4 linked regions of the Schizosaccharomyces pombe genome follow. The gene in region 3 interacts genetically with the main gene of each other region. Each region holds a gene or a part of one and is shown on either strand. Other genes may lie near its edges.

Evidence for each region.
Region 1: mutations in SPOM_SPAC1952.10C (region 3) and SPOM_SPAC1F12.04C together harm fitness more than expected from each alone (negative genetic interaction), as found in Schizosaccharomyces pombe (one large-scale study listed by BioGRID).
Region 2: mutations in SPOM_SPAC1952.10C (region 3) and mug73 together harm fitness less than expected from each alone (positive genetic interaction), as found in Schizosaccharomyces pombe (one large-scale study listed by BioGRID).
Region 4: mutations in SPOM_SPAC1952.10C (region 3) and hac1 together harm fitness more than expected from each alone (negative genetic interaction), as found in Schizosaccharomyces pombe (one large-scale study listed by BioGRID).

The regions. Positions count from the first base shown.
Region 1 is NC_003424.3:3,808,738-3,816,292, forward strand, and holds SPOM_SPAC1F12.04C (uncharacterized protein), read right to left. Parts: upstream 3,113-7,555; 5' UTR 2,905-3,112; coding exon 2,329-2,904; downstream 1-2,328. Other genes in the region: tma19 (translationally-controlled tumor protein), read right to left, coding at 791-1,297; arrestin-related substrate adaptor Any2, read left to right, coding at 4,385-5,518; SPOM_SPAC1F12.06C (DNA repair endonuclease), read right to left, coding at 5,812-6,203, 6,290-6,656; ser1 (phosphoserine aminotransferase), read left to right, coding at 7,116-7,555.
Region 2 is NC_003421.2:620,454-627,907, forward strand, and holds mug73 (transporter mug73), read right to left. Parts: upstream 4,075-7,454; coding exon 3,154-4,074; 3' UTR 3,063-3,153; downstream 1-3,062. Other genes in the region: msy1 (MS ion channel protein 1), read left to right, coding at 1-2,606; RNA-binding protein mlo1, read right to left, coding at 5,035-5,772; rpl1202 (60S ribosomal protein uL11), read right to left, coding at 6,759-7,244, 7,340-7,351. UniProt on the Schizosaccharomyces pombe protein: Has a role in meiosis.
Region 3 is NC_003424.3:4,980,568-4,989,608, forward strand, and holds SPOM_SPAC1952.10C (uncharacterized protein), read right to left. Parts: upstream 6,000-9,041; 5' UTR 5,728-5,999; coding exon 5,455-5,727; exon of another isoform or gene 5,340-5,454; coding exon 4,527-5,339; 3' UTR 3,730-4,526; downstream 1-3,729. Other genes in the region: SPOM_SPAC1952.08C (pyridoxamine 5'-phosphate oxidase), read right to left, coding at 1-219; ach1 (acetyl-CoA hydrolase), read right to left, coding at 767-2,332; nickel-dependent urease Ure2, read right to left, coding at 6,171-8,678.
Region 4 is NC_003423.3:1,205,168-1,213,670, reverse strand, and holds hac1 (2-hydroxyacyl-CoA lyase Hac1), read right to left. Parts: upstream 4,997-8,503; 5' UTR 4,707-4,996; coding exon 3,045-4,706; intron 2,994-3,044; coding exon 2,949-2,993; 3' UTR 2,815-2,948; downstream 1-2,814. Other genes in the region: serine/threonine protein kinase Ppk31, read left to right, coding at 1-848; npp1 (nucleotide pyrophosphatase), read left to right, coding at 1,319-2,776; SPOM_SPBC725.03 (pyridoxamine 5'-phosphate oxidase), read right to left, coding at 5,858-6,631.

The sequences.
Region 1 (7,555 bases), 1.2 Mb from region 3:
ACCCGCACAAGGGCAACAAATCGAGGTGTTAAGTAATTAGTTGCAAATAGTACAATGCCTAAATTATGCGTATTTGTTAGTGCTTTTAAATGATATATTTCACTTAGGGGAATATTGTAGCTAAACTCGTTGATTTAAACTGCTTATATAGTTTACTATTTAAACGTAACAATATACATTGACAAAATTAAATGCAACTAGTCTATTAACTCAATGATAAGATTGATTAAAAGGCTTAACAATTAAGCATAAATTTAATCCAATAGTCGTCCGCTACAAAAATAACATCGTCGAGCAAAAATTTCCCAAATCTTTAGTACTAACAGTAAACTATAGTTTCGACTGTAACAAAGTTTCAATGGCTACCGGGTCGTCTAGTGTCGCCATAACAAAAGTTTGGCTATTCCTCGTAAAGGACTTGAATTATCAACTTCGATAAAAAGCAAAAAAATACACTAAATTAATGGTAAAATACCAAATTTCAAACCATATCCTTACTTACTAAATTATTTCGGCCTGTTAATATATAAATAGATTCATGAATTTTAGCACACACGTTTTAAAACATCGATACCTCAATCTTCCATTCAACCAAATACAAAATCGATAAAAAAACACTAATTTCAATTTGAACATGATTATAAGCTAGCATAATTAATTATTATCAGAACAAAAACCCCTGTTCTAATCCTAATGAAATTTTGTGAAAACTAATTCACAAAACTATAAAATTTAGACATGATATCATGTTCCCAGTTAGAAACTCCCTTATAAGAACCCAAATTTGCATTTAGAACTTCTCAGAAACAAGACCGTCCTTGAAGAAGATCATGTAGGGAGTAATACCATCCTCACGGTAGTTCATTAAGACAACCATTGCGTCGGGATCCATGCTCTCACCAATGTAAAAGTCGTAGTCCTTGAAGTTAGCCAAAATCTTCTTGACGAATCCAATGGCATTCTTCTCGAAAACAGGAACACGCTCGGGGTTGCTTTCTTGAAGACGAGCCTTGATAGCCTTCATGTAACCCTTGATGTAAGACATATAGGACTTCTTGTCAAAAGAAGTAGGGCTTAAACGGAAAGAGTAAACAAGATTGTTTACAGTCTCAGTACCCTCTTCAGCATTCTCCTCAGCATCCTCGGCAGAAGGGTTGGCACCAATGTCAACATCACCACCTTGCTTGACAGTGACCATTTGGCAATCAGCCTCGTAGACAATATCGTCTACCTCCTTCAAGTCGTAGGCGTCAGAAACGAGTTCGTCTCCAGAAATAACGTCCTTGTACAACAACATGGTGATTGCAGATGGTAGCTCATAATTTGACTTCTCGCAGGTTTAATGAGATAAAGCAGTCACAGTTTAGGGCAGGGTTACTGGATTCTAGCCATCCGTATGGAATGCGGTTACGAACAGTATTCACTTTACGTAGTACAGCGTTGTTTTCGATAGATACATTTTGTTTACCAATTCCTTCATTTTTTTCAATTTGTCGTAGTCTGTTCTCCTTTCTTTTAAATAACAATATTCTTTATATTTTCAGATTTTTTTTTAGATGAAAATATCGTTGTACTCAGTCAGTAGTAAATTGTTTTATATTACTGAATCTGATTTTTTGAGTGAAACCATTATGATGCGTGTAAAATTAAGATTAAAGCTGGAATTAAAGTCCAAATGAATTCAACAATTGAACCATATTTAACAGTATGTGTATTAATCTCTATGTTCTTTAATCAACTTGTAACCATTTATGTCGCCTCAAATTTATTATTCGAGCTATTATCCGTCAATTCTTGAGTCGTAATTAGAACATTCTCAACAGTACTGAGCTTCAGAAGAAACCTAAAAAAGTAGTGCATTATAGTTGATAATAATTCCTTAACGTTTATATATGATATACTTAAAAGTATGATATCGTACATCCTCAATTTGAAATTGCAGGGCCATTAAAAACACTCGTTAATAAAGATATTCAGTTCAATTAGAAAAAAATGACAAGGTACATTTTGGTGACAAACAAAGAGTAACTTAATGTTTTCCGTTGATTAAATTTTCGATCAATATCCCAAAATTTAAAACGCTTTAATGGAATGGATTAACGATTAAAATCGACTTCATTTCTAAAACCTTTCAAGCTTTAAACCGATTCAGTCCCTTCATTTAGAATGGCATATTTCGATTTTTGCTGAAAAAACCAAGACGACTGTTACCACTTTTGTTTACTACTTTACTCACATAGACATTCGAGAAAACGAAAAATAGTTGAGCACGAATAGAATTACATGAAAAAAGTAACTTCTATTTAAATTTAAAAAGCTCATTCGTAACTAAGCTCTTTTATTGTGCAAAGAGAGGATTAGTTTTCTAGTTTGTACAATTGCGCTGAAAAGACCAAGAACTCCAATTTGGTGTTTGTGTAAACCAGCTCCATTTTCTACAGACCAGTGAATACACAAAGGAAGGCTAGCCAAGTTTGAAGCTAAGTCTAACTGATGCTCCTTTTCGTCTTCTGTTTTTTCACGCAAAAGCTGGTAAATGGTCAATAAAGTATCGAGAAGCCAAAATCTAGAAGACCAAAGCCATAATTTGTCTTCCAACGGTTTTGATATGGAAATAATCTGTTTGCCGCCTAAGAATGCCAATCCTTCTGTGACATAGTATCCAATATTGATTGCGTTACTCATGTAAGTTTCAGGAGAAGAATCTTTACGAAAATTTACGATTAATTTGTAGAGACCAGGAAGACGTAAAATACATCGAAATTCATTTAGCATAGAAACCAGTTGAGCAGTTGATTTCGAAGATGCTGGATCCAACCTCGCAACGTTGACAAGAATGGCAGCAATTTTGTCAATTCCGCTGGGATTTTGCAGCATCAGGTTTAAAGAATGCATATAAGACATATTTCTCAAAAAATTTCAGCTCTAAGATTTGGTCAATTATATTGTTCACGAAAGGTAGTCTAATTTTCGTATACTTTAGTAGAAAAGCGTAAAATCCAAAAAAATACTAAGTAGCGTATGTAAACGACTAAAATTACCAAATCCAAAGATTATTTGAATGACGATAGATGTCGGTTCGGCAACGTCTTATGGTATAGAGAGTGAGTGTGCTGCTATAGTCGATCGGATCAGCAAACGTTAGCTAGTCTGTTTAGTACACCAATAGATTTGATAAGAAAAATCTACAGTGCAGCAAAGTGAAATGTTATTTTATGAGTTGATCGATTTTACTTTTAGAATTACAAATGATAAGATATGATAACTTTCTCCAGTTATCACGTCGATTAGATCGCCGGAAATAACTCCGATATTGAGGAAAGTGTATTCAGTTGCAACAAACAGCTGTGACGGCTTCAAAGTATCGGCAAATCATTTTTTGCATGTGTTTTAAAAAAATAGTTCAGCAATAAAAAACATAAATTTGTTAGGCTTCTAGAGGCATATGCTTATTTATGTGTTATTTTTTTAATATTTATCATAACGTATTTTTTATTACAAATCCTTAGGTAGCAATATCTTAAGAATTAAACATACATATGTTCAAGGATAAAAGAAAGAAAAACTTGGAAACTGGGTTTATTTTTTCTATTCCTTTGTTCAGATACATATAAAACAGCTTAGTTACTATGGATTATTATCATATAGAATTATGATAACTGTTTAAAATAAATATTATTTGGAATAACGAGATTTGTTTAGGTCGGCTTGAGATACGCACAGCTACGTAAGATTGTAGATAACAAACTTTGAAAACCTTCGCATTCAGTGGCCTGGGGAGCATGCAGACTACACTTCCTATTCTTCCTTTGCAAAAACCTTCTCTTCTTACTACATTAGTATATTTTTCATAGGGAGGTGCTATATGCACTGTATTCATAGTTACGCTCTGCTTACAGTGAGCAAAGTATTTCTTTGGACGCTAAAAAAAGGCTCCTGTATATTGATTTGAGTAAATATTTTGGCATAGAAAAACACATTCAACGCTACTTAATTGTTTTTTCCATTTCGAACTACTATTGAGAGGAAGTTGTTTTTTCAATTGTTTTATATCATTTGAAAAAAATTGAAGCACAATTGCTTATCTTTGATCAAACGTTTAAGGAGTAAGCTCCAAATTCGATAATCCCTATTCCGTTCTACATAAAACCTGAGTTCATCTCTTGTGCTGTCGCTTTCAACCTCAGAAGCTGTTAAGGATATATATTAATTTAAAATTTTTACCAAAAAATATATTTCATTCTCTTCATAGCCGTTTTCTGTTTGTTTAATTTCAATCTCATATTAATTCTTCTGATCGGGCCCCCCTTTGTTCTTTAGATTCATTTTTTCCTACTCTTTCCTTTTAATATTTAATTCCTAAGTCATTAGCTGAACCGTCAAGATGCCTTCATTAGTCAGGAGATTTCAGCATGCTTCAACAGAAGAACAACCTTTCGAACTCAACATCCAGATGGAGTCTCCTCCTTTGGTAATGTATGGGAATCCAGATGTTTCTAGTGGAGCGTTAGCATCTGGACTTGCCAAGTTGACTGTATTTCCTGCAGATCTCAAATGCGAATCCATTGTCATGGAATTCGTCCGCATAATATCCACAAAGCGTCCTTTGCGCGACAGCTGTCCCGATTGCAAAGCTCAGGTTGAGGCTTTTGAGAAATGGGAGTTTTCTAAAGAACCTACCGTATATACTCATGGTACACATACTTGGCCATTCACTTTTATAATACCTGGACATTTTCCACAAACGACCAACTCACCATTCATAAACGTTACTTACATCCTAAAAACTCGCGTTAAGATTCCCAGTCAACCCGATTTTGTTTTTGAATATCCTTTAAACTTGAAACGCTCTATTGTCACTAATGCTGATAAAATTGCCCAGCGTCTCTTCCCCCCTACTTCGCTTATTGCTCTTTTAGAGCTGCCTCCTGTAATTCACCCTTTGAGTTGTGTTCCTGTTGAATTTCAGCTGACCGGTGTAAAACCTGAAAACTCCAAGGTTGGTTGGCGCTTAACGAAGATTTCGTGGAGAATAGAAGAACAGATAAAAGCTCAAATAAATGGTTGCTCGACCCATACTGGGACAAAAAAGCCATACATTTTCAAGGAGACTCGGCTGTTGGGAAATAATGAACATAAGTCTGGTTGGAAAGAAGATGGCGATAGAATTATCTTCGAGATCCCTATCAGTACATCTTTACTTTCAAAGCCTATTTGTGATGTTTCCTTTGATGGACAATTCTCTCTATATATTGCCCATCAACTAATTCTTGAGACTATAGTCGTCGAAGTGATGAACTCGCATCCCATAAACTCGAATGCCCGAATTTTAAGGATGAAGGTCAATTTACCTTTGACTGAACGAGGTGGTCTTGGTGTTAGTTGGGATGAGGAATGCCCCCCAATGTTCAATAGTGTTGGACCCAGTCCTCCTGCATATGAGCAAGTTGCTAGATCCTCTCCCACTGATATTCCACTACCTCCACCTTCATGTCCTACAAATGTTCAAAGAGATTGATTCGAATTTTAGTTTCTTCCGTCAATTTTGTTTTTTTATCTTTCTGTTTTAATTGGGCTTGTTTTTTCATTTCAAAGATTTGTGTATCTTTATATGACTTGAACGGTAATTTTTTGACCTTTACTAAGCTTGGATGATACAACAGGATTTCCATTAAAGGTTGCTTAACGTTTGTTCAAATTCCGCTTTTTTATTTCTCTTTCCTGTAGATTAATCTAATTCTAAACCGTCAATTAAAATACTCACAGAATATCTAAGTAGACAAAGTAATGTTTCTCGTAAGATGATTTTGCTTAATTTTTCTTATTCCTTTTCGATTGACTTAGGACAAATTTGGCATAAATGTCTGCTTGCCTGATCGGTTCCGGTACCCTGCTATGAGAGCTACTGCATTTCTGTACGAGTTGGATAGACTGTTCTAAATTCATTTGGTTACCGATGCTAACATAAACTGGGCGTTTCGAGTTACTGCTTGTCCATACTGCAGCGCCCAGAATCTCAGAAGATTGATCAATCGAGTGAATCAATATTGGATGATCAGTTGTTTTCTTTAGCACGTGTTTCTTTAAAGTTTCACGATGTGCATCTAAGCTTTCAGTCAAACCCACGCAATGTAAGTAATTTTTCGCGACGCCAACAACGGGAAGATTCAACAACACACCTAAATGGCAAGCCAATCCAAATCCTAAGTTGAGTTAGATATAATTAATAATATCCTTCATTGAGAGTGTCTCCTTGAAGTAAATAGATTGTTTACAGAATCTTACTTACCGACAGGATGCAATACGCCATTTCCATCTACTAAAATGATATCAATTCGAAATTGATGAGGAATGTGATTTAGCAATGGCAAATACCATTTAATTTCTCGAAATGAAAGAAACCCGGGAACATAGTCCTCTTCTAATTTCTCAATGCACAAATAATCTTTATAAATAATCATACGTTGTTCTAAATCATAAATAACAAGGGCTGAGACAGCCTTTGGACTTGATTTATCAAAAGAGATATCCAATCCTACAACATATCTTATTTCATTCAAACTTTGAAATTTGGGAATTAGCTGCAACATCCCTTTAAGTTCAATTTGCTGTTGGCGCCATATCGTTAACTTATCATGCAAATTGTCATTATTCATAATATACAATTGATCTTAAAATCATTTAGGTGTTTTTTAATTTAAAATAAACCGGTCTTTTCTGGGGCTTGAGTTGAGTACGAAAACCACGAAGTGAAAAGGTAGAAGTTCCCACATATGAGATTTAGACGCGAAATGTCAATTAATGTAATGAGATATCTAAAATATAAATTACTGTAAAAGAATTAAATTGACAAAGCGTAAACGAATACGCTATCATTTTTGGGATCTCATCGGTGTGTATAAAAAAGAAGTAGTGACTTCACTCACTTCCTCTTAACCCATATCATAGGAGTTGATAATTGGATCACGTTGACAGGTTTTGATTTCTCTAGGCGACATTTACTATTGTAATTAGTTTTACTCTCATATAAATAGTTTTGGAGTAATACCTGTGAAAATTGATATTCAGATTATTTTAAATTCTAAGTATACTTCTGCTTGAGCTCACGGAACAAAATGTCATCCAGAGAGGAAGTAGTTAATTTTGCTGCCGGTCCTGCCGCTATGATTACCTCTGTAGTTGAGGAATTTGGAAAGGACTTTGTCAATTTCCAGGGCCTTGGCATGGGTGTCGCTGAAATTTCCCATCGCAGCAAGCAAGGTTCCGGGATCGTTACTTCTGCTGAATCCAATTTTCGTAAACTTTACAATATCCCCGAAAACTTTCATATTTTATTTATGCAAGGCGGTGGTACAGAACAATTTGCCGCTTGTCTTTATAATGTTTATGCACACCATGCCCTCAAGAATGGCAATGCTAAATCTCTTGTTGCAAACTATATTATTACCGGAGCCTGGAGTAAAAAAGCATATGCTGAAGCTGAACGCTTAGGCTTCCCATGCCACGTTGCAGTCGATATGAAAGAATTGGCCGGGAAATATGGATCTTTACCAGA
Region 2 (7,454 bases), on a different chromosome or scaffold from region 3:
TGCGACGCCTTTCTTCCCATCGTTCTAAATCCATGCGTACCTCCAAGTCTAAAAAGTCGGGCGATTATGAACGTACTGCGGAGAATGAAGAAGCCGCTCAAGAGGCTGAGAATCATTTAGACAACTTTGGTGTAGTGACGTTTGGTACTGAAGCTCCTATTAAGGCTCCGGACCATCCTGTAACTATTTTTGGTCGCATATTCAAATTTATTCAACAGCGAAGCTTTTACCTTCGTTCGCTCATTTACATTATTCCTCTCGGGGTTTTACTCTTGATTCCAGTATTCATTGGTCGCTTTTATCACCCACAACCTCCTTACCGTGATGAACTAGGTCATGAATATGAGCGCCATTTACACGTTGGAGGTGTTGATTTGATGTGGATGGCCATCTGGTGGGAAATTATATGGCTCTCTATATGGGCTGCTCGCTATGCTGCCAAAGTAATTCCTTATTTCTTTGCCTTCTTCGTCTCCTTCATCAGTAACAACGTTACTAAATGGAGATGCATGGCAGTTGCCCTTGAGTTTCCTATTACATTGTTCCTTTGGATGTTAGCTGTATATGTCAGTTTCCTTCCCATTATGACCCGCCGTCATATTGGTGATTATGGTGTACCTGATCATGTACGCGTAAAACTCCCTTGGCAACAGAGCGCCAACAATGTACTTATCACTTTATTCATCACCTCAATTATGAATTTGGTGGAGAAAGTACTTATGCAGTTGATCGCCATGTCGCTTCACCGTCGTGAATATGAATCTAGAATCCTTTACAATAAGTTTGCTATTAATGAACTCGCCCGTTTGTATGGATATGCGCGACAGCGTTCTTTTGATTTCAAAGATGCTATCCATCGTGCTCAAGCAGATGTTTTTAAGTTTGCTGATCACCAACATGGCAAGAAGCGCGCAGCAGCTGCTCGGGTTGCTCAGAATGCATTGAATAAAACCACTTACAAAGCTATCTCTGCATTCAACTTCGCTACGGATATGGTTAACAAAGTGGCTGGTGAGATTACTAATCGTGAGGTCGAAAAATCTTCTTCTCCTAAAAGTGTTGTGCTACACTTGTTAAAGACCACACGCGGTTGTCAATCTCTAGCTCGTTGCTTATTTGAGGCATTGGTGAATCCTGAGAATCCCGATTTAGTACTGGATGATTTTATTCCCGTATACACCGATGAAACTGGTGAAGTGGATAATGCCACCTTAGAGGCATGTTATTCTATTTTTGATCGTGATCTAAATGGTGATATCACCTGTGAAGAAATTGAACTCGCATGTGTGGAAATTGGAAAAGAGCGTAAGAGCATTTCTGCTTCACTTCGTGACTTGAACGATTCCATTTCTAAGCTTGATGGTATTTGCATGTTTATAGTGGCTGTCATTACTCTTTTTATTTTCTTATACTTGATTGCCCGTAACTTTAGCGGTGTACTTACCTCTGCTGGAACTACTTTGCTAGGTTTGTCTTGGCTGTTCTCCGGCTCCGCACAGGAATTACTTAGTTCTATTATATTCGTATTTGTGAAACATCCTTACGATGTGGGCGATCGTGTCGATGTCATGATCAATGGCACAGTCACTTCAGCGATGGTCAAGGAAATTTCCATCATGTCTACCGAGTTTCGTCTATTGACTGGAAAAGTCATTCAAGCTCCAAACAGTTTGCTGAACACCCTTTGGATTTTGAACATGCGTCGTAGTGATGGCATTGCTGACCCAGTCACCGTTAACCTGAAGTTTGGAACTACTCTTCAGCAAATTGAACAACTGCGAATCAAAATTATTGATTTTTTGAAAGAAGAGAAGCGTGATTATAAACCTGACTTACTAACTGAAGTTACGGATTTACCGGATCTCTATTCCATGTCTTTGTGTGTTGTATTCTTTCATAAATATAACTTTCAAGACGAGGTTTTACGTATGCGTCGAAGAAATATGTTTATGTGTGCATTGATGACTTATATGCAGGAATTGGATATTGTATCTCCTATTTTCAACAGCCCTGGTAAATCAAAGGATTCACCTATGTATGTCAACTTCAACAATGGTTCAATGGAGGGTGTTAAGTTATCTGGTGGTAATGATGGTGGTGGTACTGAAAATCATCGCGACAGCACTGTTGGCGGAGGAATTCTGAAGAACCCAAAAGCATATCCTTACCGCGAACCTACTCCTCCTGGTAGTTCAGATTCCGATACCGCTAGTGTTTCTAAAAAGCGTGTTGACTTTTCCCTTGGAACACGGCATCTGATGCCTGCTTTTGATGATGTTGCTGATATTGGAAGTAAAAGGCTTGGTCGTGATAGTCTTCCCGATGCTGTCATTGAAAACGCTGGCACAGAGGCCATGCGACGCGAAGCTGAGGAACGTCGCCGAGCCGAAGAGGAAGAGTACGAACGTTCTCAACAAGAATCTAGTTCGAATGAAGAAAACGAAAATGCATCGCGTACGTCAGGTGCTCGTTTTAGCTTTTCCTCTAAAGCTAGTCGTTTGTCGGCTAGACCCAGTGCTCGTACAGTTCCTCCGTTGCAGCATATATCAATTCAAGACTTACGTGAGCCAAACGAAAATAATACTTCTAAGTCTGCTCGACTTTAAATACCCATAACACTTTGCAAACTTGCATCGCTCATGCTAGTTTTACTTACTTCATTCGTTGAAAGTGGCTATTTACCATTTTGGGCACTATTTGTTTCTTTTTTTTAGTTTTTATTTATTATTCTATGAAATGTTTAAACGTATATTGTATCTCAACAGCAAATTTTTGTATTAATATTAGCTATGCCTTGTAAAGTTTCGTAAAAGTTATGCAAATGATTTACGAATAATCTTAAACTAAAACTAGTATAATGCTTTTTTCACGTAAACAATGACTCACCGTCGTAAATTTAGACGTTTCAAGTGCGAATGAACGTTAATAATTGTTCAAAGGTTTCGTTTTTATAATAATTATTTCGTTTTCATAATCGTAATTTTTCACGAAAAAGTGTTTGTGTTTTAGAATGCCAACGAAATTCTCGTAGCGAAACTTCGAGTTTGTTTTAAACATTCAGGAAACAAATAATGATTAAAAAACAAAAAAAAAAAAAACGGAAGGTAAATTTCTATAACTAAGCAAAGATAACTGCAACGATGCGTACTGTTATTAGCAATTATTTTTCGTAGGTGAAGAAGGTAAATTGGAAATTTGAATGCGAGTTTCAACGGCCAAATCATCAGCTTGGTTTTGTGCCTCCATGTCCGGACACATTGAAAACTTGTCATCAGCAGGACTGCATGCCCCTAAGGGTATCGATTGAGGCGATTTAAAGTTTTCAATACCAACCAAGTCTAGCATCCAAGAAAAAGCAGCGCCAAAAAAGCCGAATTCGAAAAGATCTAATATACTGTAAAATATGGCTTCTCCAATTGGCGAGATAACATTGAGGCCCTCAGATAAAATCCAACATGCATAATAGAGGAACCAAATGACATGTAAGTAAACAATTGACCATAAAAACCCTAGGCGCGCAGACGTCTCTAAACGGCTAGCATACTTTTTATGCAAAACGACTGAGTGTGCCAATGCAATAAAATAGCCTACAAACGAAAATCCGTAATAGGCCCATTTATAGGGAGATGAAGTTAATGCTGCCGCCAGTAAGCAAACAATCGCAAAAAGCACATAGCAAACGACATATGCAATTTCTAGTATAGATACGCCTACCGTCCAATGTAGCATTACGATGATTAATGGGAAATTGATTAACCATTGAATATAGCGAACATAGTAAACCATTCGTACACTAACTTCTCGAAAAAAAGAAGCAGAAGAAAACACATTTTTCAATCCATAATTGCAGGCCATGGTAAAGTAGGCCAAGCAAGAAACCAAACTGAGGATGGAAAAGAAACGGTGGTAAGTCTGCTTTTGAGGCAAACTGAATATCGATACTAAAGGAAAGACAATTGCGCACAGCAGGAACACTGCAAAAACAGCCCAATAGTAGTTTGAGCTTATCTTTTGCAAAGCGACTTCCGGAAGCTCTTTCAGTACCATTCCGGAGGAAGATAATTTCGCATTCATGATGCGTAAACAGGATAGAGGCTGGATTAAAAGATATAGAAACAACTCTTATATTCTTAAAGGTAGCGATACTAGTTGAGTTGAAAAGTCAAAACTTTGTAATAATGGGTAGCTGAGACACGGTGAAGGTGGCTCTGAGAAAAGTCGATTAAAAAGCCATGTTTGTAAACAAACAAACTTCAACATGTAAACAAACAATGATGTTACTCTTTCCCATTAAAAGGCATTTTAATTGACTCTAATTGAGAAAACGCAAAAGAACATTACAGCCAGCAATGTCAAATTTTTCACTTTTTCTTACTTACCGATGACAGCAAAACAGGTAAAGTCGCACGTTACAGAAGAAGTCCGAAGTTGAGAAACAAAAAGGTATAATAAAAAAATAAAATTCCAACCTGTAGAAAATAGTTTATGTACAAAAATTAAGAATTTCGACATTGTTGGAAGTAAAGGTGGATACATCATATAAACATTACAATCCTTCTCTTTTTCTTAAATACAAATAAGCTCATCAAAATATATACATATGGATAGCAGAGTGGAAAATCTTTGTAACGAATGTGTATGTCAAAACGATTAGAACGAAGAGTTTTTTAAAAATGGAAAACATATGAGTATAGGTAACTATTAAAGAATTCGCCTAGGAAATACTTACATCACGCCCCAAAAAGCTATTAAAAAAATAAAACCGAGTTTTCACAGATGTTTTAAAACACACCTAAAAGGTAGGATTGAAATTAGAAGCGTTTAGGGCTCCAATATCGGATGCTTGTACTCGGATAAGTTGTTTAAAGTGAAGCAAAAGTCTGGGTATAATTTATATACACAAATAGGAATTCAAAAGTTCTAATTCATCAAAAAAGCATTAAGCATACAAATAAAGCATGGCATGAGGAGAAAACTTCAAGAAACATGAGTCATATTGTAAAATAAGAAGTTAAAATATGTTAAATGGTTACTTTAATTCTTGGCAGCAACACCAAAGCGCTCAGCACGCTTCCTAGCTTTTTCTGCCTCTATAGGGTCGTCCAAAATATTACTCTTCCGCTTGGATGGAGCACTTTTAGGAGGCGCATTCTTATTTCTTTGTTTAGAACGTGAGTTGGAACGATTTTGAGGGTTCTTAGATTGATTATGGTTTTTGTTATTACTTGACGCTAAAGGTTGTTGAATGCCAAAACGTGCAGCACGAGCAGCTTTCTTAATTTGTTCATCGTCCACAGGAATGCCAAATCGTTTAGCCCTTTGGATGAGTTTTTCTTGCTCTTTAGCTACATCTGGGCTAGAGACTTCATTAGATACACTTTGTTTGGATTCCTCTGTGGTTTCTTGATGCTCTTCAGCACCAGTGGAAGTTTCAGGAGCTTGTGAAGTCTCTTTCGAAATAATGCTTTCATTTTCCTTTTCAATCTCTACAGCAGCGGCAGGAGCACTGGTCTCTTTACTTTCGGGTTCTGCTGGCTTGTTAACGTCAGTTGAAATAGTATCATTCTCCATGTCTCCCCAATCAATATCATCCTCGGGAGGAGCAAGATCTCCTAGATCTGTAGCGTTGTTATTCGAAGTATTTTCATCGTTACTCTCGGTCGCTGCTGTCAATCGGCTTACCAATTCAGCTTTGTTTCCAGCAGTGGAGAGGCCTTTCTCCGCAAGTTTTTCACGCAGTTCTGCAACTTTAAGACTCTTGTAATCTGACATTATGAATATAGACGTATATGCGCGTCAAAATAACACGTTTATTGAATTCGGGATATACGCAGTTGACAAGGGTGAATATGTACGAACCAGCCAACTTTAGTGAGACATGTTGGATGCGCAAATGAAGCGTAGTGAATTGGAGTGATGATTGTGTCAAACATAGTGGTGCTATTTTGCGTATCGCTATGTAATGTTTACTGTGCTATGGTGAGGAGATGGTTCAAAGAAAATGTCTATAAACGATGTTGGGATATACTTTCTCCCTTTTATATGAAATGTACGAATCAAAATCAGTAATCAGTTAGATTATTTAATATTTATTTTTTACTTTAATTAATCGTAATTTTGAATTGGCATTTTAAACCGATTTCTAGAATACTAAAAGAGCTTGAAGAAAGAGCAAATCATTCATTCGTTCCTTACAAAGTTATTATTATAGTTTACTTGTAGATAGTGAAAAAACTCCATTTATTGAACTGGGTATTTGCTGCTACGTTTGCTTTACCTTACTATATGCTTACAACGATTATGAACTTAACAGGCAATTATTAGTTTAGTATCTTAGCTCAAGAGCAGTTGATAGTATTCAAAAATAAAAACAAAATCACATGTAATTACAGTCATAGTTTAATGTGTTAAAACGGACCATTCATCAAGTATGAACATTTCTTTCTACCATTCCAGGAAATATTTTCATGAATACAATTTATAAAAACCCGACATCAACAACAAATAATATCATTAAAGCACAATTAAACTACAAGCGCCTTAACGTTTACAACTTTTAAATTAAAAGTATCCAGTGCAAAATTTTGGATGTTTTCCCGGATGTCAGATATGCAAGAGAAACCTATATTAAACACTGTATTTTTTGAACCCTATAAAAAGATAGCAAAAACATCAAGATCTAAACATTGCTGTTTTATACAAAACCCGTATACTACCAAGCAAGCACATAATCCGTTTACATTAACTTATGTATGCGATTATTCTTGGGGGATCTCAATTTCGCCATTGTCGATCTCCTTTTGAACGTCGTGAGGGTTCTTGCCGTCAACGGTGCAACCAACAGAGAAGGCAGTACCGAGAATCTCCTTAACGGTACCAGAAAGCTCCTTAGCAAGAGACTTGAAGCGCATAGTACGGGCGACCTCAATGATTTCGTCAAGAGAGACATTGCCAGAGTGAGCGACGTTCTTGTCCTTCTTTCTGTCACGAGCAGGCTCCTTCAAAGCCTTAATGACCAAAGCAGAGGCAGAGGGAACAACCGAGACAGCGGCTTGACGGTTTTGAATAGTCAACTTGACGGTCACACGGAGACCCTTCCAATCTTTGGTAGCCTTGGCAATATCTTCACCAACCTTCTTGGGGGACAAACCCAAGGGACCAATCTTGGGAGCAAGGGTGGAGCCACCGGCGACTTCACCACCGACGGCTCTCATAAAGATGGTCTTTACTTCATTGGGATCGAACTAAAAGGATTGTTAGCAAATGAGTATTCATAAGAATGTGAATGAAGTAAATTGAATAAAAAAAAATAAACGAATTCACTAGGAAAACTACTTACTTTGGGAGGCATCTTACTCTTGCTTGGTTCAAGAAAAATACGCAAAGTGTTAGTTTTGTTTTTGTTTTATGTGACTGTCCGAAATGAGTGTGACTGTTCCTGAGGGCACCCACAA
Region 3 (9,041 bases):
GATGTTAAAATATTTTTTACTGTTTTCTCCTGTTGACAAAATAATGCAATCCTCCACTTCGTAAGGGGCAGCGCTTCCTGCAGGTAAATAGGTAAATGTCATCAAAGAAGAGTGAGGCTGATCATGAAAGCAAGTAGCTAGTTGAATATATTTGGATGAGGACAAGCATCTCTTGATTTGGCTGGGGAACTCATGAGATGAATCGACTTTTGAGGCCATATTTACTTTCAGGTTATTGTGGTGCGACAAAGATTATAATTTGCAGAATAAATACTGGTGAATGGAAACTATTGATCCAGACAAAACTGTACGATAATTTCTATACTTGATTATCCTTTCCTAAATTTTGGTGGTACTCCTCTCTGAGTAAGCAGGTTTGATACTAGGTTAATAGCAGAAATGCTGACTCACAACTCAACGTAATATAGAGGTATGTACTAAACAGCCAACTTACGAATTTTGCAGGGGAACTAAAGATTAATAATCTTCAAAGGAATACTGCTCATAAAATAAACGCGCTCATTTCTGTGTATCTTGGAAAATTCATACGCATTATGATTGTTGGATTTACTTACTCAAAACTAATTTCCTTAACTTATAAACACTAATTTTAGTATACGGATTTTTTTTATTTCGTAAATTAAATTAATGTAAAAATGAAATACATTAAGTCATAACAGCACGAAGAAGCTGTATTTTAGTCGTAACAAGGTTTTGGAAAACCCTTAGAAAGAGTAAAAGTGGCTATAACAACTGATAACTAAATTTACCAATGATCGATCTTCATCGTTCCTTTTTCTAAAAGGTTGAGCTGCATCTTGAAAGCATTGGCAAGAATATGGGGTTCATGACCAGCTCCTCTAGCTAAACAGTAGTTTTCGGCAATATCGAAATACTCTCTGAGCAGAGGCTTATAGTCAGGATGAGCACACTTGTCAATAACCTCACGAGCACGTTCGGTAGGAGACAAGCCTCGTAAATCAGCCAATCCTTGCTCTGTAACCAAAATATCCAAATCATGTTCGGTTTGGTCAACATGGGTAGCCATAGGAACAATACAAGTGATACCAGTAGGATCCTTCTTCGAAGGACGAACCGATGGTGTATGCATAATACTTAATTTCGCATTACGCAAGAAATCAGCAGAACCACCTAAACCGTTCAACATTCTGCTTCCCAAAACATTTGTACTATTGGCATGAGCGTAAATATCGGCTTCCACAGGAGTATTCATAGCGATGCAACCAAGACGGCGGATAATTTCAGGGTGATTGGAAATTACTTGAGGGCGTAACAAAATTCTTTCCTTGTAGTAATCATAGTTTGAGTAGAATTTTTCAAATCCCTGAGGAGAAAAACGGGTTGAGGTAGCAGTAGCAAAACGTAACTTTTCAGAGTCAAAGAGAGGCAAGAAAGTATCTTGTAAGACTTCTGTCCACACTTCGAGATCTTTAAAGGGAGAATGGGCAAGACCACCGATAATAGCGTTGGCAATGTTTCCAATACCGGATTGCAAAGGATGAAGATTTTTGGGAAGACGCCCTACAGATACTTCATGATGGAAAAAGTCAACTAAATGGCCTGCAATAGCCTGCGAAGTCTCATCTTGCGGAGAGTTAGCGCATGTGATGTCTCCATAATCAGCCTCCACTATTCCAATAACCTTTTTGGGATCCACTTTGATGTATGGCTTTCCAATACGATCGTCAACTCGATTGATGTTTATTGGAGTACGATGTGGGGGGTTGGGAATTTCGACAATGTCATGAAGTCCTTCAAAAGAAGGAATGGCAGTGTTCACCTCGATGATAATCTTTTCCGCAAGTTGCATAAGTTCCGGACTCGCACCAACTGATGCGCCGGGAACAATTCCGCCGTCCTCGGTAATGGCTGTGGCCTCAATAATGGCTGTGTCAATTGTATTACTTTCACGATTACGAGTATAGTAGCCATAAAGTAAATCTTGGGGAAACATGGATAAATGCTTGTCGAAAAACTGAATTCTGCCAGAGTTAATTCCTTTAGAAATTGGCTTTCCTACTTGATGAGGACACCGGCGCTCAATCATATTCAATTCAGCCCACTTGCATTCCGTATCAGCACCTCCCGAGGCACCAACGAACAATTTAAAACGCAATTTTCCTTGCAAATTGTTCTCTTCGACATGTCTTGCTAACGCGTTTGGAATCATTTTAGGATAACCGACACCAGTAAAACCAGACCAACCAACATAGTCCCCATTTTTAAAGTACGGAACCAACTTGGCAGGATCCGTAACAATTTTTTTGGCAAATTCGGCATTGCGAATGCGTGAACTCAGAAGAGACGGCATTGTATCAACAAAAAGAAGAGAAGAGGAAGGAAATATTAAAACGTTGAACTAGTAAAAGTCAAATTCAAAAGCGATAAAACAAGAAAAAAAAGAAAAGAAAAAGAAATCTTTCAATGAAGAATCTGGGCGACAGATAAATAATCAGAATATGCTCAAAAACGCTTTTTTGGGCTTAAAAGATAATTTTAATTTGTTGAATGTACACTCTTTTTTACTTTTAAATAAGAAAATGAATCAACCAAAAGTGGTTGTTCTTGTGACAAATATGTAACTGCTCAGTAACAGATTTACAAACCCAAGGATCACAGATATCGGTAAGATATGGAATGATGATTGCAAAAAAAAAGCCGGAATGATGAATGTATGCGCGACTTGATTTTAGCAAAGTAGACCAAAATTGTGACGAAAAAAAGAGACAGAATTTGCGAAATAGGAAAAGGGTAAAAGGTTGACCGGGTGAAAATCTTCAATAATAAAAGGGCGTAAACTTTGTTTAAACAATGTGTTTCGAAAAAAAGTGTTGTTTGCTTATTTGTTTTCCGGGGAAGGAAGGTGTTTTTTTATGGTGATTTAGTCACAGAAACGGAAGAATATGAATGAGAGTAAATATAATGAAAATCCCAAGTAGAGTAGCGTTTTGCCCTATTAAATGACAAAACCCGAGTGTGTTGACTTTGGCAGACGTTTTGTTATATCTGTAAAAGAATTAAGGATAAGGAGAACAAATGTAGGTAGGTAAGTTAGTAGTAAAGCGAACACGAACGAACCGATGCAAGAAGAAAGAGTCAAATGATTAAATTAAACTGAATAGAGGTGAAAGGGGGGTGAAAAGATATTAAATCAAAGAAACTTCAACAAAATAACCAAAGATTCAGCTGTTTAAAAGCCAAATTTCAAAATCCTGGAAATTGTTTTGTTTTGATCTCAACGACGCTAATGACAATCAGAAGTATCGATTATAAGAGTGAATTACACTCAATTTTTGTAAATATACCAAAATACTTATGGATGGTAGTTGTTAGGTTAGGAATTCAAGTGTTGAAATGGAATTCACCTTGTTTTATATGTGTAAAATAAGGTTTCACCTAGAGCCTATGGAGGGTCATTCATTGGAATCGCACATTCAAGCAGGTAGGGAATCAAAACAAATGCAGTACGTATAAGGGAGTGAGGCAAATTACGGTAAAAAGATAGTGCCGAGAATGCTTGCTTACGTTGTAATTTCTATAACAAATTTTGTAGAAATCCTGCTAAATAATTAATAACGATAAATCACGAAATATTTTGTTTTTCAGTTTAAGTCAGAATTAAGAGGCAGAAGGCAGCAATGACTTAGTACGATATATCGTCATATTAAAACAAGAAATCAAATTATGGAGGTAATTAGGAACGGTATCCCATTATTGTCCCAAAACTGGGTATTATTATTCAAACGCGGTATATAAATAAAAATATATGTTTACGTTATACAATTAATTTATTTATTAGCATTATTAATAAATTAGGATTATTAATAAACAGAAAAGACTAGACTTAACTATTTGTATCAAATTAGTTCAGATCATTCAAAAAACTTTTAAAGAAACGGTTCAATCACTACAATCAACAATATCACAAGTGTGAGTTAACAACTAATAAACATTCCTTCTTAACCAGAAAAATGATAGAATTTTTTGACTTAAAATCCTTGTAGGCCACAGAACGATATATTCGTTCTAAAACTTCCGTAAGGAAATGGTCAACTCCAATTAGCTATCACCTTTTTTCCTGTATAAGAAAAGAACCAGCTCAAAATGTTTACTCAACTAAATCATTGTAATAGCATGTTGAGAATTTTGTTTTTAATAATAGCAATGATATGAGCAATGAAGCATGAATTAGGAGATTTTTTTTTTTTTTTTTTTCAAATTGTGAATTATAGGCAAGAAGACTGAGCTTTCAAAAGAAGGACCGAAAGCAATAAATTTTAACAAAGACAAAAAAGATATGTATTAAAGGTCAAATGAAGGAAAAACACAGTACAAGAGATCGGAGCACAAAATATTCACCTACCAAGGAATGCAAGGAAACACGAAATGGAAAACAGTAAATTCAACAGGCGTAAGAAAACAAACGATGATTAGGACAGAGAGATGAGGAACATTGATAAACAACAAGAAAACACATTTTTAGAATGCCAAAAGAAAGAGAGCTCTCAGTCGTCCAATGGCATGCGAACTTTAGGAACAGCAGGAGCCGCATTGACTTTTTGCTTTTGATGGATATAGCGTAAATATTCCCTAAGACCATAACCGAAGTTGGAAATGCAATAAAACCCTACGACTATGGTTGTGAACAAATAAATTATGGTGACTATTGAAAACACCAACATACAAATATTTGCAACAGCAATATCCCCATAGTCGACGCCTAGGTATAGCCTAGCACAGTTGTAAATAAAATATGCAAGTCCACACATAAACATAAACTGTACAATCCCTAACAATGCACGATTTTCTCTGTAAACAGCATACCTACAGGTCATCAAAGTTGCGATTGTACAGGGGAAGACAAGAATGGTTAGTGCTAGCCCAACACGACTTATGGTAGAAAAGAAGATAGCATATTGAACAGTAGCCGTTAGGCAAAAATAATAGTCCGACTTAATTAAGGACATGAATATTTTGTATACGAGATACCTTCTTCTCATTCGAAGATCAGGACCATGCTGCTGATACATAATCCATCCAAATGCTTTGTTCATTTTGTAAACCAAGAAGCTCAGCAAGATACAAGTAACGCCGATTAGCACCGGAAGAGCGATTACAAATGGCTTCAGATAAAATAACAACATATGAGAATTAACAACTATTCTTTCGTGATAGTTAAATGATGTGACGAGGCGAATGGGATCTATTAAGTATAAAGCGGAGAGGAAAATCGCTCTGGGGTCTTTTGAAAATATTTGAAAATATTGGACAACAGATAGGCAAAAAAGGCTTACATGAAAGATAAGAAGTGCTGACATCTAAACGTATAATTCGGTTAGCTTGAATTGGTTTAGATCTCAAGTGCGTCAACCATATGAATCGACAAAAGACAAACAATGCCATTTTAGCTTTTTTTGGAGACAATTAACTTACCTGTATTACATCCTTGTTTAATAATGCATCTACAGCCGTATAAAGTAAATAGGGACATGCCATACAAAACAGTGCAAATGTAGACGGCACCATAGCATTTATAAAGACATCAATTTTTTCGACTGTGATTAAACGAAAATGATGAAAAACATATCCTTCAAAAGATAATGTAATGGTAACCTCGACAATAATGATCAGCAGAAACCATTGTGATGATTTTTTAAGAGATCGAAGGAAGTCTTCAGCAGGCTTGAATGACAAGAACTTTTTCATGATTAAAAGAAATTATTAATAACGCTTTCATGAAAGTCTTAATCTCTTCACAGCTTAGTCACTTAGGCTCATCGAACGTTGATTGTAGGTGTTGTTTACCGCTTTGGTAAGCGACGAAGTTCACTCTGACTTAACGAATACGACTGTACACTAGCTCAAATACAACTTTTCTGAATGTTTATAGTATATGAATTTGTGACAAATATTTGTTAGTGTTTGAAAAGAATTATATAACCTTAAAGCAAAAACGTGGGTAGTAAGCAAACAAGGTTGATCCACCAACTCATAAGCGGGAGTATATTATATTTATAAACTTAAATAGTAATTGGTCTTTTAAAATTTGATATGGAATTTCTCGGCCTCAAACAACTGTAAAGAAATTTACAAACAAAATTTCATATTAATTAAACTCGCATTATCTTCCTTAATCAAAATCTAAATAATTAAAAGATAAAATAAGACTGGGAAAGTGGAAGTTTGTCTACAGGCTCACATTCCATAACTTTACCATCTGCAGTAACTGTGTAAGCTTCTGGATCAACAGTCATTTTTGGCATATATGAATTGTAAACCATGTCTTTCTTCCCAATGTTTCTCGTAGATTTTACGGCTTCAACTCTCTTATGAAGTCCATAGCTTTCAATAACACCGGATGTTATAGAGGCCTTGGAAACAAATGCAATGCTCCTCTCGGGGTCATGTGCACCAAACATTTGCCAGGACATGAGGGGAGAAACCGTTGGAATCGATCCATTTGGATCACCCATAGAGGCCAATGCAATCATTCCTCCTTTCAGCACCATACTGGGTCTTGCCCCAAAGTCAGCAAAGTCCCATAAGACAAGGTCAGCAAACTTGCCTATCTCCACAGAACCAACAATATGAGAAATTCCATGAGTAATTGCAGGGTTTATAGTGTATTTGGATACATAACGTTTCACACGGAAATTATCAACACCTGAACCCTCGTCCTCAGGAAGTGCTCCTCGTTGTAGCTTATTTTTATGGGCGGTTTTCCAAGTTCTTGAAATTACTTCACCACAACGACCCATGGCTTGAGAGTCTGAACTAATCATACTAATAGCTCCCAAATCCTGTAAAATATCTTCAGCAGCAATTGTTTCAGCACGAATACGGGATTCTGCAAATGCAACGTCTTCAGGAACATTCCTAGAAAGATGATGGCATACCATTAACATGTCCAGTTCCTCATCAAGCGTATTTGTAGTAAATGGTCGTGTGGGATTGGTGCTAGAGGGAAGAATATTTGGATTTTGGACTAAAGAAATAATATCGGGGGCATGCCCACCACCGGCTCCTTCAACGTGATACGTGTGAATGGTCCTATTTTTAAAAGCTTTAAATGTACCTTCTACAAAAGAGGATTCATTGAGGGTGTCGGTATGAATTAGGCACTGAACGTCATACTCATCACAAACAGACAAACAACTGTCAATTGCTGCGGGAGTAGATCCCCAATCTTCGTGAAGCTTAAGTCCACTGCAGCCTGCTTCTATTTGCTCCTTCAAAGAACTTGAACCGCTATCATTTCCTTTTCCGGTGAGACCAATGTTCATGGGATAAGAATCAGTAGAACGAAGCATGGAACGGATTAAGTCTTTATTTGGGGTGCAGGTAGTAGCATTAGTTCCCGTACTAGGGCCAGTTCCTCCACCATACATAGTAGTTATACCGGAAGCCAATGCCTCTTCAATTTGTTGAGGACAGATGAAATGAACGTGGCTGTCCATACCACCATAAGTAACAATTTTATTCTCAGCTGATATAACATCTGTAGAAGATCCAATGACCATGTTTTCTCCAATGTTATCCATTGTATCCGGGTTTCCTGCTTTACCTATACCTACGATATATCCGTTTTTGATGCCAATGTCAGCCTTGTAGATACCGGTATGATCAATGATTACAGCATTTGTAATTACAGTGTCCAAGCATTCGTCCATTGATTTTGAGCTAGACTGTCCCGTACCATCACGTATAACCTTTCCGCCGCCGAAAACAGATTCATTTCCATATTCAGTAAAGTCCTTTTCCACGCGCACAATCAAATTTGTATCTCCCAGACGAATTTTATCATTCGTTGTTGGACCATACATTACAGCGTATAATTTACGAGGAACAACAAAAGGGCGTGCAGATTGTAATGGCATATTCAACGGAGATTCAGGTTGATGCATGAATCCCTGTTTCATCAAATTGTCAACAATTTCCCGAGTCCTAGAATCATCGAAGACACCCTTCGAAAGTGAATTACCTCCTTGAATTAGTTTTGCACCACCGATAGGGATTAAATTGACAATTTTCATTACGCCAGGTTCAAATCGAATAGCAGTACCTGACGGAATGTCCAAGCGCTTTCCATAAGCCTTTGAGCGATCGAAGCATAGTTTTTCATTAGTTTCAATAAAATGATAGTGTGATCCAACTTGAATTGGCCTGTCACCCATGTTTCGTACCTCGATGGGAGTACGAGGTAAATTAGGCAATAGTTCAATCTCGCCCTCCAAGACTTCAACAAAACCAGGGCTATTTTCCGGAGCATATAACTTTTCCTCTTCCAGAGGGAACAGTTCTTGGCTTGGCGTGGGCAGGAAGCTTCCATATAAAGCATGTTCGAGATTACCATCTGTAGTGCAAATGGGATCATGAATGGTAATTAGATAGGTTCCATCAGGGAAAGTAGCTTCAATCATAATTTCATGTAACAAATGAACGACATTGGGCTGAACATGGCGTTTACCCAGCATATCTTTACCAAGACTCATCAAATCTGCTACGGAATGATTACCGTCGCGAACATATTCTTGAATTTGAGATGCAATAAGTGAAGTAGCCTCTAACTTGTTAAGCTTTACCCCTCTACACAGCCTTTTTTGGGCTAAAGATCCCAGCTGGTGAAGCGTTAATTTGTGTAGCTCTCTGGGTTGCATAGTTGGAACAACGCTAGAGTGATATCTCCGATACGCTTCCTTTCACTTTATCGATATAATTTTACACTTTCCGACTAAGGATTTGTAAATTAGTTCGTGTTGAGACGTTTATCGGTAAGTTGCTGAAGGATGCATTTAATCTAACCACCATATATCTTATCTTAGTCTAACAGGCAGGGTGCGCCGATTGTACGCAACTAACAAGAAGAAACTAAGGTAATGTAACGAAAAGCTAAGCATGAAGTTGAATTGGTGTCAAAAAAAGCATAACTATGAAGTTTACAAAAGTTGGCACGTAGCAGTTCGCTTGAGCACTTATTCAAGTAAAAGGAAAGGGAAATAAGTATTGTTTATTTTTTGTGC
Region 4 (8,503 bases), on a different chromosome or scaffold from region 3:
ACATGGATGAAACAGCAATACACATGTTAATGAATCAGTTAGAGAAAAAGGAAAACCGGACATTCATCAAAAAAGATATTTCAGGGACGCCAAATTATATGGCTCCAGAAATTTTAATGGGCGTTGATACTCAGATGGGCGATATATGGGCGATGGGTTGTGTGATATTCGAAATGTTGACTGGCACGCGACCATTTGAAGCAAATACTGTAAAAGCAATATGGGCTCGCATAGAGAGAAATGATATTGGTTGGACTAAAAGAGTGAAAGAAAGCTGCTCAAAGGAGGCGGTAGACTTAATCACCAAACTCATGGATCCAGACTGTAACAAACGGCTGGGTAGCAATGGATACCAGGAAATCAAAAAACATCCTTTTTTTCGAACCATTAAATGGGATAATTTAAATAGTGGGCCAGGTCCGTTCGTTCCACAAACAGAAAATGTTGAAGATTTGACGTACTTTGAAAAAAACATAAGCGGTTCGGATAATATTAATAAAAATAATTGTCAGACGTCAGCAACTTTAATTCTAAATGGTATTTTTGCTTTTCATCCTCCTCCAAAAGCAACACCAGCTGACAGTGGTACTGAAACCTCAAACTCAGCTGCTTTCTCTGCGTCCGAGGAGGAGACCACAAATTTAACAGACCAAAAACGAAAAGATCTTTTTTCACTAATAACCAAAGCGTTTAAGGGAATAGACTTAAAGGCCCTTAATTACAACAACAAAGCCACGCTTTTGCGAATGTATGATGAGGTCGATTTCCCCAAAAATCAACAAAGAAATAAAGAGAAATTTCGAATTCAGAAACGACCTAACAAAAAGTATCGCTACCATTTATTTTAACATCATGTAAAACCATAGACATAACATGTTCGCTATCCAGAACGAATCATGATAAGTTGAAAAATGGTTAATTAATATTTCCATACAGAAACAGTAAAAAGACAAATAAACTTGTTCTACAAAATCTTTTATTCTGAGGCTTTAGCCAAATAATGCTTCTAACATAAGTTGATGTTTCCTCCTTGAATCCAAATATTATTAATAGTTGAATTTCATATATGAAAAAAAGCTATCTCATTTCACTAAACGTTTCAAAGGATGACATTTCCTATACGACAGAACATTTAAGAGGACTGAATAGTTTACGAATTGAAGTAAGTTAGAACAAAGTGTTTACCGCATATCTTTGAAAGCGTTAAATGATTTTAACAATATTTTTCGCATCGTTATTCAAGTAAGTATTATTTGACAGATTATATGATATACCTAACAATACTCCTTTATATCATTGATTTTGAACATTCGCCGAAATGTTTAGTTGGGCTAATATTGGGTCCAACGAGTATTTGCCTTTGAAAAATGATCGAAAGGCTTATTTGAATCAATGGGCAAAACGATCGGGACTAGCAATTGCCGCTATTTGCATTTTAGGAATTCTGATATTGGCAATTGTGAAATTATTTTGCTTCAAAGCAATTATTTTTCCTATCGTTGGAGGTTCCTTCAACAATGGGACCAATGTTTTTCAGTCCACTGTCATCGTAATCTCCTTGGATGGATTCCGTGCTGATTACTTATATCGTGGGTTCACACCTAATCTTCTGAGCCTGGCTGAACGTAATGTCCATGTTCCCTTTTTGATTCCTTCTTTTCCTAGTATAACTTTCCCTAATCACTATACTATTGTTACCGGTTTATATCCCGAGAGCCATGGAATCGTTAGTAACAACTTTTTTGATCCTGTAACTGGGAAGCAATTTGTCAACAGTATGCCTGAATGTAACAAAGACCCAACTTGGTGGGATAAAGGGGAGCCTATATGGGTCAACGCTGAGCGAAATAACGTTCGATCAGCGGTACATATGTGGCCTGGAAATGAAGTGGAGAATCATGGTTACAGACCTACTTATTCGGATGGTTTCAATTTTGATACGACTCTAAGAGAAAAGAAAGATAGAATACTCGAATGGCTGGATCTTCCTGATAAAGACCGCCCTCAGTTATTACTTGCTTATGCTCCCCATGTAGATATGGTTGGGCACGCATTTGGACCGGATTCGCCTGAACTGAATATCATAATTCAAGAAGTTGATATCGTAATTGGTGAACTAATTGAAGGACTGAAGAAAAGAAATATCGATAAGCATGTCAACATTATTTTTTTAAGTGATCATGGAATGGCGCCTACATCCGATAATCGTCTTATCTGGCTGGATAATATGTTTAATTTGTCTGCCGTTGCACACAGAGATGCTTGGCCGTTAGGAGGTTTTAGAGGAGAATCTGATTTAGATGATGAGTACATTTACGAAAGTCTTGTTAATTATTCTCGCTCGTCATTACCTTCTGCTGAGAATTGGAATGTTTATTCAAAGAAAGATATACCTTCTCGATGGCATTACTCAAATAATGAAAGAATAGCTCCCGTTTGGATGATCCCGGATGTTGGATGGTCTCTTGTCTCGATGCTGGATCATTCACCGGAGTTGGAGTATGAGCCTTTGGGTGTACATGGTTATGACAATTTGTCTCCAGTGATGAGAGCACTTTTTATCGCTTCAGGATCTTCTTTTAAGAATTTTAAGGGAAAGAAGCTTGCACCGTTCCAGAACACCGAAATTTATGGCATTCTTTCGCATATATTAGATTTACCAGCTCAGCCTAATAATGGTACATATGAAGGTGCTTTACCTTTAAGAAGAAATCGTAATTCTACTAAGGAATGGTTGCTGAAGGACATAGAACAAGCATACTCTAAGCTTATTTAATTCTGCTGTTTTATCACTATCTTTATATTTTTTAATATTTTTAATTTCCTTTAGATTATATTTAATACTTTTTTTTAATAAACGACTTTATTTGAATAGCAACAATAACTGTATTCCGATTTTTAAGAATCGTAAAAGAACATCACTTCTTCTATTTTTAATTAAATGATGGTCATAACTTTGGTTTCACTTTGGTACTGCTCATCCATGCAAATGTCTAGTGATTGTTAGCTTGTTCTTATACCTAATTCATTCCATTAATACTTACCAATTTTCGAGCAGCCTCCGGGTCCACCATAACATTTATGAGAGATACAGATGAGGTTTGCCATGCTTTCCTGAGGGAACTTCTCAAATCTTCTTCATTCTTTACAAAGAAACCTTTACCACCACATGCTTCGCAAATTTGATCATAACGTATACTAGTGCCTAAGGCAGTAGTCGGTAATTGGTGATTATCACGTAAAGTTTCATAAGCATCAGTATCTAATCCATGGTAAACACCATTATTATTGATTACAATTACCAAAAGATCCAGCTGGTTGCGTATGGCGGTTTCCAGTTCCATGGCGCTAAAGCCAAAAGCACTATCACCCTCAACTACCACTATTTTGTCGGATGAATGGGCAAATGCGCTGGCAATAGCATATCCCATACCAACTCCCATTGTTGACATAGTGCCTGCATCCAGTCGACCACGTGGATGAGTTACTTCTAAAAGCTGACGGCCCCGGTCCATTGTATTGGCGCCTTCAGAAACCCAAGTGATATTACGCTTTGATTTGAGCGATAAGCTTTGTAGCTCCTCATTCACGACATACAAAGCATAATTCATTTGCAACGGTATACTGGACTTTCGAGATTCAAGAGCCTTTTTCTCATTCTTGGATCGGGTTTCATTTAACGTGCGAAGGTAAGGGGTCGAGATGCCAACACTGTACTTCCAAGTTTGAACGAGCTTAAAAAGACAATCTATTGTCAGACCTACATCAGCCCAAATTGCTAAATCCAAATCTGCAGCATTGTTTCCTAAAGTTTCAGCATTGGTATCAATTTGAATAAATTTGGCATTAGGAGACCACTTTGGTGGAAGACCATATTGAAATATCCAATTTAAACGTGCCCCTGCTAAGAGCACTACATCTGCATTACGAAGAGCAGCTGACCTTGCCGAAGACACATTTAAGGGATGCGATTCTGGTAACAAACCTTTGCCCATGGGACTCGGAAGAAACGGAATGCCAGTATGTTCAACAAATTCCAAGAGCTGTTTTTCAGCGCAGGCATATGCGGCACCTTTACCAACGACAAGCAGAGGTGCCTTTGCATTTTTTAAATAGTATGCAGCCTTCTGAAGCTGTGTTGGATCAGGTGCACATTTGGGAGAACTAGGAATTGGGGGTAGAGGGTCTTTAGGAAAGTCATCGACAGTAGATTCAATATAATTTGCTGGCAAGTCAACATAGCATGTTCCAGGAGTGCCGGTCATGGAGACACGATACGCTCTTCGAATGGAATCAACAACCATTTTGGGACTTGGGGGGCGCACGGCTAATTTCGTATGAGGTGATAAGTAAGAAACCTGGTCCAATTCTTGGAAGGCCCCACAGTTTTGCTGAAATGTTTCACTGGATCCAGCCAAAAGCAGCAAAGGCCATCGATTGGTTTTAGAATTGAAAACACCGGCCATGGCATGTACAACGCCAGGACCGCCTACCACGACACAGACCCCAGGGCGCTGAGTTAAATAGCCATAGGCAGTCGCTGCATAAGCTGCGCTTTGCTCATTGCGAAACCCGACAAACCGAATTCCACTTGCTTGGATAGCCTCACAAATTTCGATTACGGGAATGCCAACAATGCCAAAAACAACTTTAACCTCTAAGTCCAACAATGTCTTAGCTACCAATTCCGAAAAGCTTATAGACATTGTTATTACAAATTAATATGTACCTCTAAATTGAATAATATTGTTCACCAAACAAAAGCGATGAAAAGCTCAATGCAAAAGAAAGACAGAAGAAAACAAGAAAAGACTAAAGCAAAGTAAAGGTGGGTTTGGTTCCAGTAGCTAGCAATACCGTCCCTATTTCTCAATAAACTGACAAACTGAAGTGTATGTCACTCTGTAAACCAAGTGTTCTATACTTTAGAGAGAAAAAGAAGTTCTGATCTAGATGAGCTTAAATAACAGCAATGCTTAAAAAATGATGGATGAGCAATCCTGTATTTGAAATTGCTAATCCCTTATGTAACCGAGTACTAATAATCCAATGTATAAGCCAATTTGGTAAAATTCCTTAAAGTATTTAATGTATAGTAAGGAATACGTTAACAGGTTTTAAATTTGTATCGTTAATAAGTTAAGATCCACACATGTATTCAATAATGCCACTTAACTCAACGGGGACCTTTACGGTTCTATGAATACTGATTCGATAAAATTAAATGACTTGGCAATTCACCGTCCCTTCAAATAAGACATTGTGTTTCTTATGTGGTGCTTTATTCCCTTTTTTTTGCTACATTTCTACCTGCGTAAGACAATATAAGATAATAAAACAAGCCATATAGTAATAACCTTAATATAATATTATACAGGTAAGATCTTTTAATAAATGATCATCATTAGCAGGTAGGTTGGCCTATTTGCTTAATCTCGCAACAATTTTTTACAATGTCTTCCTGTAAGTACTTTAATACACACAATTTTCATAATTTTTTATTTATTATAAACGTAAATAGTTCATCAAGTGGCCGGATTGGAAATTTGACATAGGATAAGTGATAATTTAGTTGTTTAACAACGTAAATAAACATTAGAAAATTCGGAATACACTGAGTTTGTAGTTTGTACTCAGTATTATGCTTCAGTACTAAAAAAAAATTCAACTACAAAACCCACCGAATTGTAAGCTAGGCAAATTTGAGGGAATCAGACCTTTTTCATATACTCCACAAAAAAAAAGAACCAAAATGTTAGGAGTAATCATTATAAGTTAATATTCGTAGTTCATAAGTATTGCACGTTTATCAAGAGCAATCAATTCATAAAGGATGTGCGAAAAAAAAGGAAAACATTTAGACATTGACACGAGTGGAGGACCATTGTTTCGTGTTTAGATCTCTATTGTGCAAAACGCGCTTTCCTGGAGGAGGGGTAAGATTCAAAAACTCGACTTCGTTAGCCTCACAAACAACAAGAGAAAATCTACCCCAAGCAGTCTTCCAAGCTTCAATAACCCCGGGATCTTCTTTTCCAGTGAGGGTAGAAGGTAAAGGTGACACCTTCACATCGCCTTGGTATTTGGAGTATGAAGGAGGAGTAGAAAAGGAAGCGCGAAGTTCAGGACTATGTAACTCCCAAATACGTCTTCTTTCCTCTTCCCAAGACCATTCTTCGGGAATGCGGCCATTGCTGTTTATTAAATGATCCTGGATCAACTTGTCTGCGGGAAATTCATTTCGGTCGGCAAGTTCTGGTGTGTATAACCAAATTTGACCGGAAATACGAATTTGCTGCATTGTCTTTGGTAACCATCCACACATTTCAAATGCGTTCGGTATGGGTCCAGAGGGGAATGTATTTTTTTGCTGCTCAGCAATCTCAGCAGCTTTGTGAGAAGCAATATCCGTAGAGAATACCAATAAATCTGTAGCTAGCACATCATCGGGACGTGGTTTATGCCATCCTGTACCGACAAATCCTCGAATAGCTACAGTACGATTTCTGGGGTAAATTTCATTACCAGTGGGTAAAGTTGCCAGCTGGAAGTATTCGGGATGAATAACTCCACTGGAGTCGACATTTTCTTTTAAAAGCTTCAATAACTCATTTTTCCAAGCGAGGGACATGTTGGCAAACGATGAAATGGGATGCACGTATGAATCCTATATAAGTCACTTGTTTGACTGAAACGTCATTGACTTTGCTAAGTGTGTCGTACTAAAGGTCGCTCGCTATACAGAAATGATCTCTAGATATCTGTATAAGGCACAACTCTAAAGTTCGGCTAAACTTACTAACGAAATCGTGTGTGATTTCTGAAAAAGCAAATTGTACGTTATCGTGGATTACACTAATTTTTTAAAATATTCCTCTCTTCATCTGCTCAAGAGAATTGGTAAATAGTAAGAGTAAAATCATTTAATATTAGTGCACAGAGAAAGGAAAATAAGAAAATAAAGACAATAACTAGTAACTTAAAACAAAAAAATAAAACTTTTAACTAACAAAAATGGTTTCCCCTTCTAGATCTTCAAAGAACATTGCAATCCATATTCCGTTGTTCAGTACCTTAATCTGATTATTCACAGAACAATGAGCTGCCATCTAGTTTGCAAATTGATATAGAAAAGAGTATGCATTGTCTGTGTACAGGTTTCCAACATTGAAAAAGTGAGAAATGACAGCTTGCATATCCTAACAGATTTCTCTCACACCATTAGTGAGGATGCCTAGTCAATCAAAACCTGTACTTGATTTCAGCAAACTTCGTCCTCTTATCTTTAATTAACATAAGATTAGTCATCTAAAATTTCAACTTTGATACCGAAAAAAGCGGCCAACACCTTCTCGCATACCGGGGTTGAACATCGGAATGCCGAAATGCGATATCAATGAATACATTGTAACATCAGAGGATAAAAACAATGATAAAAATAATTTACAAATTAAATTGTCTCTGTCAGGCGTATCACTTGGATTATGACCATTTGCTTCACATTGCCTAGCAAACTAAGAAGGCAAGCGAGGTTTATGCCTAGTTTTTGCACATCTGTAGCTTCCGCATATTCAATTCATCCCGCATCATTCTAGAAAAACAAGGCGACGAAAAGCTGCACAACGGGTATGAAAATCCTAATAACGCTTCGCCTCCAAAGGAACGTCTATGAATCCGCAGGATCCTACTTGCCGCGCTAATTAACGAGGTATACTTGATTTCGCTGTTTCACACAAATCAATATTTCAATGTTCTCTTGTCTTTGCGGAATCGAACAAACTATACTTCGATTAACAAAAAAAAGAAGTTCGTTAATTTCATTTCATCGCAAACGTGTTTTCTTAGTTTTTATTCTCAAAAACGAACAATCTACAACGAAGAATTGTTTTCGATCTTTAACCCACAACAACAAAAACATTTAGTAAGTGACGCTAAAAGTCAGTTCGATCACACTTGAAAGTACACATATTAAACGCTGAATGAATCAAATCATAAATAATTATTGTATGTAATGACCATTTTAAGGTGTTTTCATTAATCCTTTAAATAATCTCTCTAAAGCGAGATAATGACAAAAGCAATCATAATTACAAAAAGCAAGAACAATATACTTAAAATTTTTGCAAGGTTTGTCAATCAATATTTGAAGTCCACCATAATTCACAACTCAGTAATGTACAAGGACGTGAAGGTTATCACCAAAATCATAAAAAATCCATCAACATCTCAAGTTGAATAATAAAAAAGGTAAACAAAGGAGAATCAGGTACATGTAATGATTAACATTAGGTTAAAGAAAATTTGAAAACACAGTTTAAAAACTTAGGAAAAACATAAAAAAACAACAACAAAGCAAATCAAACTCGAAAAAAAAAAAAATCTGTCGCCAATCGTGGGGATAAATGAGTGTTGAAGAGTAATTTGAATTAACCAAATTCAGCATCTTAAACGACCGGTTGTAAACATATTATCTAAGGTTTAAAGTCCTTCAACATTAGGGGAT